2 linked regions of the Caenorhabditis elegans genome follow. The protein of the gene in region 1 purifies or fractionates together with the protein of each later gene. This does not show direct contact. Each region holds a gene or a part of one and is shown on either strand. Other genes may lie near its edges.

What was found.
Region 2: the proteins of mab-10 (region 1) and lin-29 purify together in Caenorhabditis elegans (affinity purification with western blotting, with the first as the bait; one study listed by BioGRID). This does not show direct contact.

Annotation. Positions count from the first base shown.
Region 1 is NC_003280.10:10,526,431-10,534,114, reverse strand, and holds the start of mab-10 (NAB transcription cofactor mab-10), read right to left. Parts: upstream 6,032-7,684; 5' UTR 5,868-6,031; intron 4,743-5,867; exon of another isoform or gene 4,317-4,742; intron 3,779-4,316; 5' UTR 3,694-3,778; coding exon 3,612-3,693; intron 3,566-3,611; coding exon 3,421-3,565; intron 3,360-3,420; coding exon 3,253-3,359; intron 3,203-3,252; coding exon 2,807-3,202; intron 2,446-2,806; coding exon 2,020-2,445; intron 1,614-2,019; coding exon 1,478-1,613; intron 1,430-1,477; coding exon 1,042-1,429; intron 678-1,041; coding exon 609-677; 3' UTR 1-608. UniProt on the Caenorhabditis elegans protein: Transcriptional cofactor. Heterochronic protein, involved in timing of a subset of differentiation events during the larval-to-adult transition.
Region 2 is NC_003280.10:11,930,193-11,935,335, reverse strand, and holds the start of lin-29 (C2H2-type domain-containing protein), read left to right. Parts: upstream 1-2,111; coding exon 2,112-2,220; intron 2,221-2,270; coding exon 2,271-2,468; intron 2,469-3,254; coding exon 3,255-3,328; intron 3,329-5,143. UniProt on the Caenorhabditis elegans protein: Transcription factor which regulates the expression of various genes, including those involved in cuticle synthesis and maintenance, such as collagens, and in lipid metabolism.

The sequences.
Region 1 (7,684 bases):
ACCGGAAAATTTGAAAATTTGATCTATTCAGAAAAATCTTTGAATTTTTTGAATTTTCACTGCATTAAATGCAAAATTTTTGTGAAAATCCTATGGGCTTTTCGCTTCGAGACCCAAAAATTTATAAAAGCAATCAACTTGCAATGCATTGGATGCGAAATTGAAGTTTTTCAGTTTTGAATTCAAATTTCTTTCTCAATAGAGCAAGACAAACATATTAAATATTTTTAAAAAATTGGAAAATGGAAAAAAAAATTATATTTAAATTATCTAATTGGGGGCGGGGCCGTGGGCGTTGGTTTTGGAACCGAACTGTGTTTAGACTCCCATTATATGAGAGCTTGGCATTGGTTTTTGAAAAACCGCCGGAAAAATGGGGGGTTTTTTGAAAACTAGACAAAAAAGTGATAGGAAGAGAAGGAAATTATATGACTCCGAGCGAAGGGGGCGGGAATTTAAATTTAAATTCAAATTCCCGCCTTGTGGGGTACAATAGAGCGTGTTTAGAATGAGAGAATTTTCGAAAACTAATGAGAATCACAGGAAACCGACCAGCGGGAGGTGTTGCAAAGATCACGAGGAAAACAAAAAATATGGAAATCCGAGCTTCAAGATTCCGGGAGCTCACCCTTCATTTTTTCGATTATCGCCGCCCATGCTTCCGGTGGAATTGGTGGCTGAAAAAAATCGATAATCAAAAAATGTTATTGTTCAAATGCAAAGTTTTATGGTTTTTGGTCTCGACATGACTGAAATAATTTGAAGAAAAAAGGGTATGCGTCTTTAAAATTACAGTAACCGTGTTGTATTGCTACTTTTTCACATTTTTTCTCTTTTACTACATTTTGCATATCGTTCACAAAAATGAAAAAACGGGAAAAAATCGAAGAAAATTGAAAAGCTGCAAGGTGGGAAGACTACTGTACGTACTCTTTAAAGGCGCACAGCATTTTTGATTTAAATTTTTTCATTTTTAATTCGTGTCGAGACCAGGTACGGTATTTTTGCATTAAAAGTAACGAACAATTTAAATGTGCCTACCCTTTCTTCCTCCTTAAAAGCACCTGAAGAACTGGACGGTTGTTCATCGAATTCCGATTCTTGAGGGGGCGGAGAGTTGCCCGGCGAGCTTATCGGACTATGCAAATCAGCTGGATCACATGGTCGTTTTCTACTTTTTGCATAGTTATATCCAGCATCTTTGACAATTTGTCGAGCCAACGGAAACAGCTCATCCCGTCGTGTCAAAAGAGACGGAACGAGAAGACATAGCTGAGCAGCTGCTTCATTTACAGTTGTCTCATGAAGTGTCAAAACTTTATGGGGCTTCCGTTTAGTGTCAAAACGTCCGTAAATTGCAGAATACTTGCGAAACGCGTGGATCATTGATGGAGTTGCTGGAGAGCATTTGAGGAGTTCTATGACTTCTCTGAAATTTCAAAAAATTATAAAATAGTCTGAATCCATTCTGACTCACTTTGAAACTCGTTTCTTATTCTGCACCAACCTCGGCGGAAGTGGCGGGAGATTCTTGGAAGCCGCCAGAGCACACTCAGCGAGACGGGATATTTGAGCAGTTGATAGAGTCGGATTTTCAGTTAGTGATGGATTATCTGGAAAATTAATTTTAACATTGAAGTTTTTCTTTTATAAAAGCTTTCACAGCAGTGTTTCTTTTCAGGTAAACTATGACATGGCACCTTTTCTATACTGTAAGATTACTGTAGGATTATTGTAGTTTCAGAAAAACTGAGTTATTTTTATGGAGACGGATATGGGCGAGGCAATCTTGTAAAACTGTAGGTTACTGTAGGAGTACTGTAGGACTATTGATTTTTTTTAGAAAACTGAGCTTTGGGTTTTTGAAAGATCGGTGAGTTGAGGTTAGTGAAAAGGTTACTGTAGTAGCATTTAATAGACTTTTCAAAAAAACAATTTTTTTTTGTCTTTTGACACTTTTTTTTACCAAGTCCTACTATGATTATTTTCGGCTAGAGCATAAACTTTAGAAAAACGAACTTGGATCAAAATCTCCCAATGAAACGAAATCATTGCCATATGGTTGTGAATAACCAACACCTAAAAAAGGAGAGGACGACCCCTCTTTTTCTTGGCCGGTGATGGACGATGATCGTCCAAATGAAGTGGATGGTTGTTGAATGGATGTGCTAGATGGAGGGACGACGAGGTGGCGTGTAACGCTTGCTGCACCACTAAAATTGAGGCCAATGCTGTTTCCGGAGAATACGTTGGCGGTGGCTCTCGATGATGGTGGCGGAACTGCGGCGGAGACATTGGTGGTGGTGGCGGGGAGGATTCCAGCAGGGAGCTCAGGGTGGGATGTGTTTGAGCTGGTTGAGGGGAGCACGCTTCGAACAGATGAGGTGGATGATGACTGTTGATCAGAGGCCAGAGACTCGAGTAGAGGAGTGGAGAACTTGAACGCTGAAATTTTGGGATTCGTTGAGTTGAGGGAATATTCAAAAATCGCTTAAAATCATGAATGGGACAGTATAAGCACAAGTATAACACAAACTGAGTATGCTAATCTACGCGCTGAATATAGTGCATTGATGAAGCCTTGGAGTCGGTGCTAACTTAATTTCGATCTTTGTAACACATGTTGGTAATTGAAGCGGTACAATTAGTTCAATTTAGAAAAAAACAAAAAAAAACTCAAAAATGTGAACCATTATTTTACTATTTCATAACAAATATCTCAAAAACTTAAAATAAAGAACTAAAAACAAAAATTGTGCATTATGGACATGCGTGTGCTACCAAACGCCCAGCGACAAAGACTAACCCAACGGTACCGAATTCGACGATGTCGTGTTCAGATTCAGTGACGGAGACGATGATGACGTGTCTGCTGCTTCGGATGGTGTCGAAACTTTTTCAGCAACTGACGACAGCTGACTCAAAAATCGGAGACTCGGGAATTTCGGCGACGTGGCAGCGGCGATTCCGGGTAGCAGAAGAGCCATCGGATCAGTACCCGCAGGTGTGTAGTTCAGTGGTGGTGGTGGACCGATTTGTTGAAGAGCTGCCAGGTTGAATGCAGTCTGATCCTGACTATACTCAGCAAGTGCTCTCTGCATCCGCCGGACATGAAGAGGCTTCGGAAGCATTCCCACAAGATTCATAATTTCCAGAAATTCTCTCTCCTCGCATGCCATGATCTGATTGATATCGTCGCCACCTGAAACAAATTTACCTTATAATAGAAAATTCACAAAGAAGAATCCTTACCTTGTGCTATGAAAACATCATAGTACTGAACTAAATTCGCTTTGCTCAGTACAGCCAACAATTGCCACTCGGATAGAGTCGTTGGTGTCGGCATCGGTTTGGGAGAACTAAAAAATTTCATAAATACTTTCCCTTATCACCAGAAATCGATAAAAATGATTGACTTACACAGGGCGATCTGCATTGCTGGTTGATTGACGTTGTGATGATGATGATGAAGAGGTGGGTATTGATGAAGTGGATTGAGTTGTAAGAGATGATAAAATTGATGGAGAAGATGAAGACGAGCTAAGTATGGACTCCAAGTGATGTGCTAGAATTTTACTAATTTTTCTGATGTCCTGATCGTCGGGACTTACATGCTGATGGTCTTGATGTGATCGACGAAGTCGTTGTTGACGCAGATGATGTGGGTAACGACGACGACGACGATGATGACATGATGCCTTCTGAAGGCACACAAGTTGAGGTACGCTCCCAATCCAGATCGACGGAAGGGCAGCGGCTATCGAATAGCCTCAGTATCCTGAAAATGAGTTGTTGAATATGAGATTCTGGAGTCTACTACAGAACTAGTACTTTTTGTCTCAAAGCAAAGGAGATTCAGGAGAAACTTTTCGGCAACAACTCGGTAAAATATAAAAAAAAGCTGTTGATAGGCAGTTGCTAGGTAATTTTTTTAACATCAAAATGTCGTTGGAAAGTTGCAAAAGTTCGACAGGAAGTTGTAAACTGTCAAAGTTTTACAGGACGCTGCCTCCAAAACCTCCGAGCCAAGTTGGTATATATTATTTTTATAATCAACTACAGAAAACACACTGATTGTATGCTTAAAGAGAAAATATCAAACAATTATTAGAAGGTACGTGTAAACTACTAGAAATTAAATATTGTAAGCTGATTTATATTTTTCCCAGAATGAAAATTAATTGAAAAATGCTGAACTACTGTATTAACTGCTTTACAACACTGTAGGTTCCCTATCGAAGTCATAAAAAAGGTTTGCAAAAAAGGTTAGAATAGAGTGAAGAAGAGAAGAAAATGGGAACATATCGACACAGAAAAGAGAGTGGTATGGCCCCCGATCCCTGTTCAAAAAACCCCAGCGTCCGCCTATCTACATCCCTGACGAAATAGTGTCTTAAACTAAGAGTGCACCCATACATCTAACTATAGGTCAAAAAAACTCGGCGGCGCGCCCGGACGCAAACGACGACACAAGAAACATAGAAAAACCGGCAAACCATTGGGCGAGAAAAAGCGTTTAAAACATAGAGACACAGAGACAATCCTACAAAAAACGTCTCTCGCCACTGGGCTTCTTCGGTCGTTCGGACGCGGGACGGACCGGGAGGTGAGAATGGAGAAATAGGAGGGAGGGAATAGTACGGGAATCGGGGGAGATTTAGAGAGAAAAAGAACCGATGAAAAAACCAAAGAGGCGTCGTTCGATTATTATTTGAAATGTTCGGTTTACTATGCGAACGATTGAGGTGACTGTGTGTGTGTATACACAGGATGGGCTTGGGAGGAACGGGACAAAAAAGTGACCTTTGTTGACAAGTGGATGTCTGGGGATACGAAAGTTCAAAATTTACAGTAATCGGGGTCAGACTTCAGAGAGATTTTGGTAGCTTATCTCCTATATCTATTAACTTCTGACTAACAGAAATACTTTCAAGTTTTGGTGTTTCTTACCGATATGATAAAATATTTAGGCGGATAGTTTTCTTCCTGTTTGGACAAATAGATGTCTAGAAGCTATAAGAGCATACTAATCAAAACTCAAGCTCCTCCTCCTTCTTCCAATTCAGCTGTTCTCATCCAACAGTACCACCATCTGTTTGACCTCTTCTTCACCTCGTTCCATCGCTTTTTCCAACTGAAAAACCGCTCCGAAAACGTCCTTTTCGAGGCTGGCGCGCGCACGCTCATTCTTCTAGCAAAAAAAGCCCCCATGAAATTGTCTGCACATGTCCATGAATTGATGAAAATAGTGTAGACATGGGAGGAGATGCGCGCAGTATGAGGTGAACAGAAAAAAAATTGGGAAGCGATGAAGGGAGAGAAGGTCGACGACGAACAGGCGGATGGGACACAACGGGGAATAGGTGGGAGGTTCGAGAAAAAAATGGGAGAAATGGAGAAAATAGACATAAAGTGAAGAGTGACATTCATAACTAATAATCTAGAAGTTACAGTATCTCCCAACGGACGAAACTAGTGATCTCCGGCAATTCTGGAAACTGTCCGAGCTCGGTCGATTCGGCAAGTACTACATCAGGGGTGTGCGTCAAATTCGCCGAGTTTGTCGTTTGCCGAATTTGCCGAGCCGACAAATTTTAAAAATGTGGATTAGCTGATTTTGCCAAATTTGCCGTGCTCGGCAAATACTAAAAAAGTCCATTGTCAAATTTGCCACACTCCTGACACGGAGGCCTTATAGTTAGTTTCTGAACTCTAGACCTCCTAGTCAAACAAATCAAAACTAAGGCTTTGGTGGAAGGCAGGCGCGTTTTCAGATCCTGGTGCATGCCTGAGACCTGCCTGCCTTCCGTTCTTTTCTCATTTCAGTCAATTTGATAGTTAAAAAAAGAAAAAACTAAAAACCTTACCTGATACAGTTCTAACTCCGCAGACGACGAAAACGGGATGACGTGGTTCTCTACCGACGAAACCATTCAGCCCGTGTCTCCGAATATCATTCGCGTCTGGCGCCGCACAAGGTCCGGGCACGACCGGGTCAGGAGGCTGTGGAACAGTGAGGCCGGGGTCTATAATAAAAAAGTGGTTGGATAGAGGTGGAGGTGATAACTGATAATATGCAACGCTAGAAAAAAAGGAAAAAAATTAAGAGAACATAGGTCAACTGGAGGGGGGAACACGCGTGCGTTGAAAAAAAAGCAAAGGCATTGAGAAATCGAGAGGAACAGAGGAACAGACAGAGCCAGAATAGTGCAGCCACACTCTATATTCTCTCTGCAATCTCTCATCTTCTCCATACTATTTCTCATTCAGTGATATCAGCAGTGGCGCGGCGTCTTCTCAGCGGCGGTGGTACCGGTCGCGGACACCCAGGGCAGAATTGCCCGGGGGGGCGCAAGTGACCCCCACAGACCACGGGGGGACGCATGAGGGAAAAAATGGCTGGCACTGCCTGGGGGCGACGGCAGTGTTGCTGCACAAAAAGTGCGTCTACACTCTCTTCGCTTTACTTGCTCTTTCTGCACTTTTTCTGCTGCCCTCGGCCGCGTCCATTTTTTGTGTGTTACTGGCAGCGGTACCAGTCCGGTGCCGACCCAAGGAGCCCAAAGGTCTCTGGAAGAGCAATTGATATGATCAGAAGCAGTGGAAGGCATGAAGAGCAGTTGAAGAAGGGGGATTCAAGTTGGTGTTTGGGATAGTGAGACTTTTTTTAAACCGCTGAATCACTGGAGAAGTACTACATGAGTACTGTAGACTGTATATGTGATGTTGTATATGTTATTGATATGAGTACTGTTGAGTACAGTAAGGCCGCAAAATTATTTTGAAACTCATCTTATTCGATTTTTTTTTCAGAATTCACCAAAACAAATGTGTGGTGGAATTCAATAATGTTCGTAACTTCAAAAGAGGATTTTATCAAAAGTTGCCAAATATATTTTGTTAAAAGCGTTTTTTCGGCGAAAAGGTTGCTGAAATACTTGTATTCTAAAAATCATTAGTATAATTTGAACATGTTTTCAAACAAAAGTATAATTCGTTACAGTAATGCCAAGATTGAATCCTGGAAAACACCTTCTTTCATAAAAATGAAAATTTTGAAAAATGGTTTTTACTGATTCGTAGAACAAAATTGTAAGCAGATGGCGTGGTTCTTGAAACTTCTGGATTAATCCATCTGAAAAAATTCCGACTGATGATTTTGATAATGTGTTGTTTGATCAAAAAACGAAATGGAACTGATGCTTTAGGATTTTTCTAATTTCATCTCACTGCAAAATATACAGAATCTATTGTATTTGGAGTAGTAAACAATTTGATTGTTATAGTTTTTACAAAAAAATATTTTGAAAATTCTGGAAAGTTGGTAACTAAGAGTTTCTTCACAGTTTTATCTTCAGAAACTTTGAGGGCTCATCGTGAGATTGGTTCTGGAAACTCGTATTTAGAAGTTCATAAACTTGTGGGATGTTGATATGTTTGCATGGCAGAATGCAAGAGGATTTGGTGGAATTGAGGTATGTATCAACACGTTTTTTAAAATAAAATCAAAACATTTTCAGACAAAATGTTAGTTTTCAGACAGCATAACTTCCATGTTATGTACCTACCTTCTTCTGACGTATCAAATTCTACTATTCAATTGTACGGAGAACCCTCAACGTTGCCTTACAGTTAGTGGGGTGCTTCATTACCCATATACACTTGAAAGTGCTCTAGTTTTTTA
Region 2 (5,143 bases), 1.4 Mb from region 1:
CCAATTCGCCTAGCGAACCTTGGAGTCCAACTCCGTTTTTACTCTTTTCTGAAAAGAGCCTACTAAATATTGGAACTATAATCAAACTATTCGATCAAATCGACACACCTACTAGATATCAAATATCTAATACTGGAACCAAGGCTTGGGTAACCTGAAACTGTGCGAATTTGGAGCAGAAATATTGTGAGTTTGTTTGCCTGCCTATGCCTGCCTCGCCAGCCTATGGTGCCTACCTGTGATAAACATAAGTTCTATTATGAATTGCTCCAAACTCTGTCGTCTAAAAATCTACTCTTTCCAGGCCAAAAACTTTTGAATTTTTGGACTAGAGACAACAGAGTCCTAATTCATAGTTCACTTGGCTCCAGACACTGTAATTTTTGACCTGAACCATAAAATAATCAGAGCTCTAGGTTCGGCGGCTCCATATGGTTTCAGACTGCTCTCCAGTGGGCAATTAAAGTGTATATTACAAGTGTCTCTCTACATTTTATCAGTTGTTTCATCACTACTAGTACGGTAGCGTGGTGGCACAACTCGTAAAAACCTTATAGTTTTTACGATCTACTGAAAATGTATTTGGGGACTTTCTTGAAACATGCTAGTGCTGGTGATAACGGTAGGTATGGAGAGTTGGGGAAGTTTGGGGTAGAGGTTGGGGGGAGAGAATGAGAAATTATTAACAAAAAGAAAAACGATTATTTCCGGCAAATCGGAGCATTGCCGGAATAGAAATGGCCCGGCAAATCAGCAACCGGAAAATTGCCGATTTGCCGAAAATTTTCGGCAAATTGTGGTTTTGCACACACATTTTTTTTTGAAAATTTCAGAAATTCAATTTTTATCGGCAAATTTATACGCATCCTATGATCATCCTACATCTATTCTGAAAAGTAAGCAAATTCTATGCAAATATATAAAGAAAACGGGAAAAAATTCAAAAAGTCACAATGTTTCCGTCTTACTAAAAATCCCTCTAAAAACTTCTGGCAAATAGATGTTCGGCAAACTGCAAACCTGAAATTTGCCGAAATTCAAAATTTACGGCAAATCGGCAAGACGGTAAATTGCCTGAAACGAAAATTTTTGGCAAACCGGCAAACCGGCAACCGGCAAATTGCCGGAAATTAAAATTTTCGGCAAATCGGCAAACCGGCAATTTCCGCCCAGCCCTGATAAGGACATCTCAAAAAGAGGTTTCCAAATTCTTGACGCTATTTTTCGCCTGCTCCTTTTACAGTATTCTAAACTGCTTAGGCGGCTTCACGAAAACCCGCTAACTTTCACCCCAATCCCTCTTCAAATCTGCTGTACATATTTCAAAACTTGCACAGCTGTGTGCACTGTGCACTTTTCCATATTTATGAGTTGTGTCTCGAAATGGAGAGACCGACTAAAATGAAACGGGAAAAAAAGTGAATTCGAACGTTTCGTGGCAGGTGGTGGGCACGTGTAATCGGAACCGAGTAAAAGGGAATCGAAAGGAGTAGACAAAGGGCATATAAGAAATCTTTCAGTTCTTCTTTGGGTCACATGGTTTTAGGAGATTTTTTTCTTGTCTTGAATTTCATTAGATTAAAGTATTCGTTAGGTACAATAATGCTACACTTTCCAAGTTTCACCGCCGTACTTCGGGGCAGGTGCAGTATGTTGTTCCTCGACTTGTGAAATCCAAGTCTATGCAAAAACAAAAAAAAATCAACATAGACCACCTGCCGTGTTTTCCGATTACGGTATGAGTATGAGTTTTTAGGCCCCACCTCTGTTAATTAACTTTTTCCTATAGTATTTTTTTTTCTCAAAGTGTAGATTATTAGCAATGTGGCCGTGTAATTTTTATGGGTCTTCCCAAAATTTTTGGAGCCAGGTAATATTTAATTTTACAGCCGATGGGTTACTGTATTAACTAGGAAATGGTAGAAAAAGATTTTACGAATATTTTGTTAGTTGCCTATTTTTTAGTCGAAGAAAACCACAACTGAGATATAAGCTATAATCAAAGTTGAGAATAAAAATTAATCCAAGTAGATGTTTTAGGCATTTAATCTATAAAGAAATATATACTTTCCTTTCAGCTTCGCGAGGATCAAGCCAACTTCTTCAACGCAATGGATCAAACTGTTCTAGATTCGGCATTCAACTCTCCAGTGGACTCTGGAATAGCTGGAACCACCACTGGCTCCGGATCTACCACCCATTTTGGTGTTGGAACAAACTGTGAGGATTTGATTATTTCAAGAAACTGATCATAAAAAATAAAGTTAAAGTTTCAGTGAGATCATCAAGTCGGTCAACCGACGGCACTGACTCAACGGACGGTGCCAACTCGGACAATGTGACCGGATCAACTGGATCCACACCAGCACATCATTCGATCACTAATTTGAATATGGCTTTGTCGCAACACTCCATTGACTCGGCAACTGCTGCTTCATCGACAAACCCGTTTCCGCATTTTAATCAAGGTAGATTTATCAAAGCTTTTGTTTCGAAAATTTCATTTAAATTCAATTTCTGTATCTTCAAAGAATAGAAAATGCGATCAATTTTGATAGCAGAAAACTTAAAACTGAGATTGAGCCTGCGCCTATGCTTAAATCAAAGAACTGAACTTTAGACAAAGCCTAAGAAAAATCCCATGTCTAGGTCCAAATCCAAGCCTGAACCTGAGCCCAGGTCTTCCGAAGGTCGTCGGTAAGATATTATTTTAGACTCTAGTAGCCAATTACTTCATCTACCCGTACAAAAAGAAGATAAACTTTTATCGTACTTCTAAGTCAATATATTCCCGAGTGAGCCTAGTAAGCCTAGGCCCAAATCCAAGCCTAAGCCTGACCCTAAGACTAAGCCTAAGCATAAGCCTAAACCTAAACCAAAGTTCAAGCATATTCCTTAGCCTAAGCTTGAGCATAAGCCTTAGCCTAAGCCTAAGCCTAAGCCTATGCCTAAGCCTAGGCCTAAGCCTAAGTCTAAGTCTAAGCCTAAACTAAAGCCTGGGCCTAAGCCTGAGTCTAAGCCTAAACCTAACCCTAAAAAATGAAAAATTTTCTGCAGACTGCTCATGGAGCCCCGATTTATTTCCATTCACTTTTGATGGTGACTTTGAAAGTAATTTTCTACATTTTAAAAATCGTGTCATTTCTCTAAACCACGTGTCTTTCCCATTTTTATGTACCAGTTCAAACGTACCCCCAATGTACCTGACCATCCAGATTTTCGGCAAATCATAACTAATTCAATTCAATTTTCAGCGGATCTACTGAACTTCCATCAGAATTCTCTCCTGCCACATCATATGTTTTCACAATTTGGAAGATATCCACAGGTTTGCATAGGGAACACATTCAAACGAGGGTGAAAAAGAAACATTTTTGAAATCTAGTTAGAAATGCATTCGGGGGCTATGGACAGGGGACAGGGGGTGTTTTTTCGTAGAAGTGTTCCGCACTTTTTTCGAACTAGAAAACAATTTTGAAATTTTGAAACATTTTTAATTTCATTAGTTTTGTTTTGCCTAAACACGGAGAAAAAATTACTCAATTTTTTAATGAATGCATTTTAATAAATAATTTTTTTAAAAACGTCATGCTTGCCTTCTTACGTGCCTGCCTTGCAAGGTGCTTTTAAGTACATCCCAATAGATACGCAAGCTTGAGGCAGGCAGACAGGTACCTTTTTTATTGGAGTTTTTTGTTCAGAATATAGTTTTGAAAATAATTGAAATATTGCTTTAAATGATAGATAGGCTTACTTTAGGCTCATGCTTATGCTTAGGCTTAGGCTTAGGCTTAGTTTTAGGCTTAAGGTTAGGCTTTGGCTCAGGCTGAGGCTTAGGCTTAGTATTAGGTTTAGGCTGAGGCTTATTCTAAGGCTTAGGCTTAGCTTTTTGAATTTAAAGATATTTTGAGTCGGCTACAAAAGAAAAAAAGGATACAACTATTTTTCCAGAAAACGAAAAAATTTTGGTTTGTTTGCGCGGGAATTCAAATTCAATTTAGGCGTTTTTTTATCATAAAAAATTTTGAAATTGTTGGAATTTTTTACAAAATTTTTTTTCTTGTTCTAACAATTTAAGCAAAATTTAAAAATGACTGTATTCCACCTTTTTGCCGGAAATCTCTGAAAGCAAGTAGGCTTCGTTCAAAAATCTGTGCTCTAAAAAGCAAACAAAAAGTTTGAAAAGTTCAACGAGACCAAAAAGTGATCAAGCTCAAGCTTTTCCTCGACTTTTCCGCCGTGAATTTTCTCCATAAAAATTTAATTTGTTTTTATCCGGTCTCAATATGGTCTCTGTAGAAATGTGCACTTTTCGATCGTAAGCAGCCCCGCAAAAACTCCCTTTCGCAGCAGCAAGAGCTCGTACCGTTTTTGTGTGTGCTCTTCTTATGTCCGTCTGTTCTCTTTTTTCGTCTTTTTTTTGCAGGAAAAATGGTATTTGGGATAGAAGGAGGAGGAGGAGAAGGAAACAAATAGAAACAGAGACTGTTGTTTTTTCTCGAGAGAAAGAGCCCAAAATCTCCATCTCGTCCTTTTTTCGCGCGCCCGCGAACGTAGGTACACAGATCAAATTTTTGAAAGGCTGAAATTATTGTGAACAGTATTTTTGTGTTTAAAACCAGTATGGTTTAAAACTAAAAAATGAGCTCATTTTTTTGCGTGCGTCGACGTTTTTTCTTGTTGACCTAGTGGACGAAATGGAACGCGAAATTTGTGGAGATGAAAAGAGAGTGAGAAATGTAGGATTTTTGAGCAAGAGTGTGTGCTCTTTTCCCCTGATCTGTCTCTCTCATTTTTGTATGTTGAACTGTTTGATTGACAATTTTTGTTAAATGTTCCTTTTTTCAAATTTGATTTGAATTTTGAGGATTATTTTTCTGTTTTTTTTTGTTTTTTTGCTTAGGCCTATTCTTAGGCTTAGGCTTAGGCTTAGGCTTAGGCTTGGGCTTGGGCTTGGGCTTAGGCTTAAGCTAAGGCGTAGGCTTAGGCTTAAGCTTAGGCTTAGGCTTAGGCTTAGGTTTAGGCTTAGGCTTATGGTTAGGCTTAGGCTTAGGCTTTTGCTTACATTGAGTCTCTTACATAAATTCAACTGGATTTTTTCAAATCTTCACAAAATAACTAGAACACTCAAAAAATTGAGGAA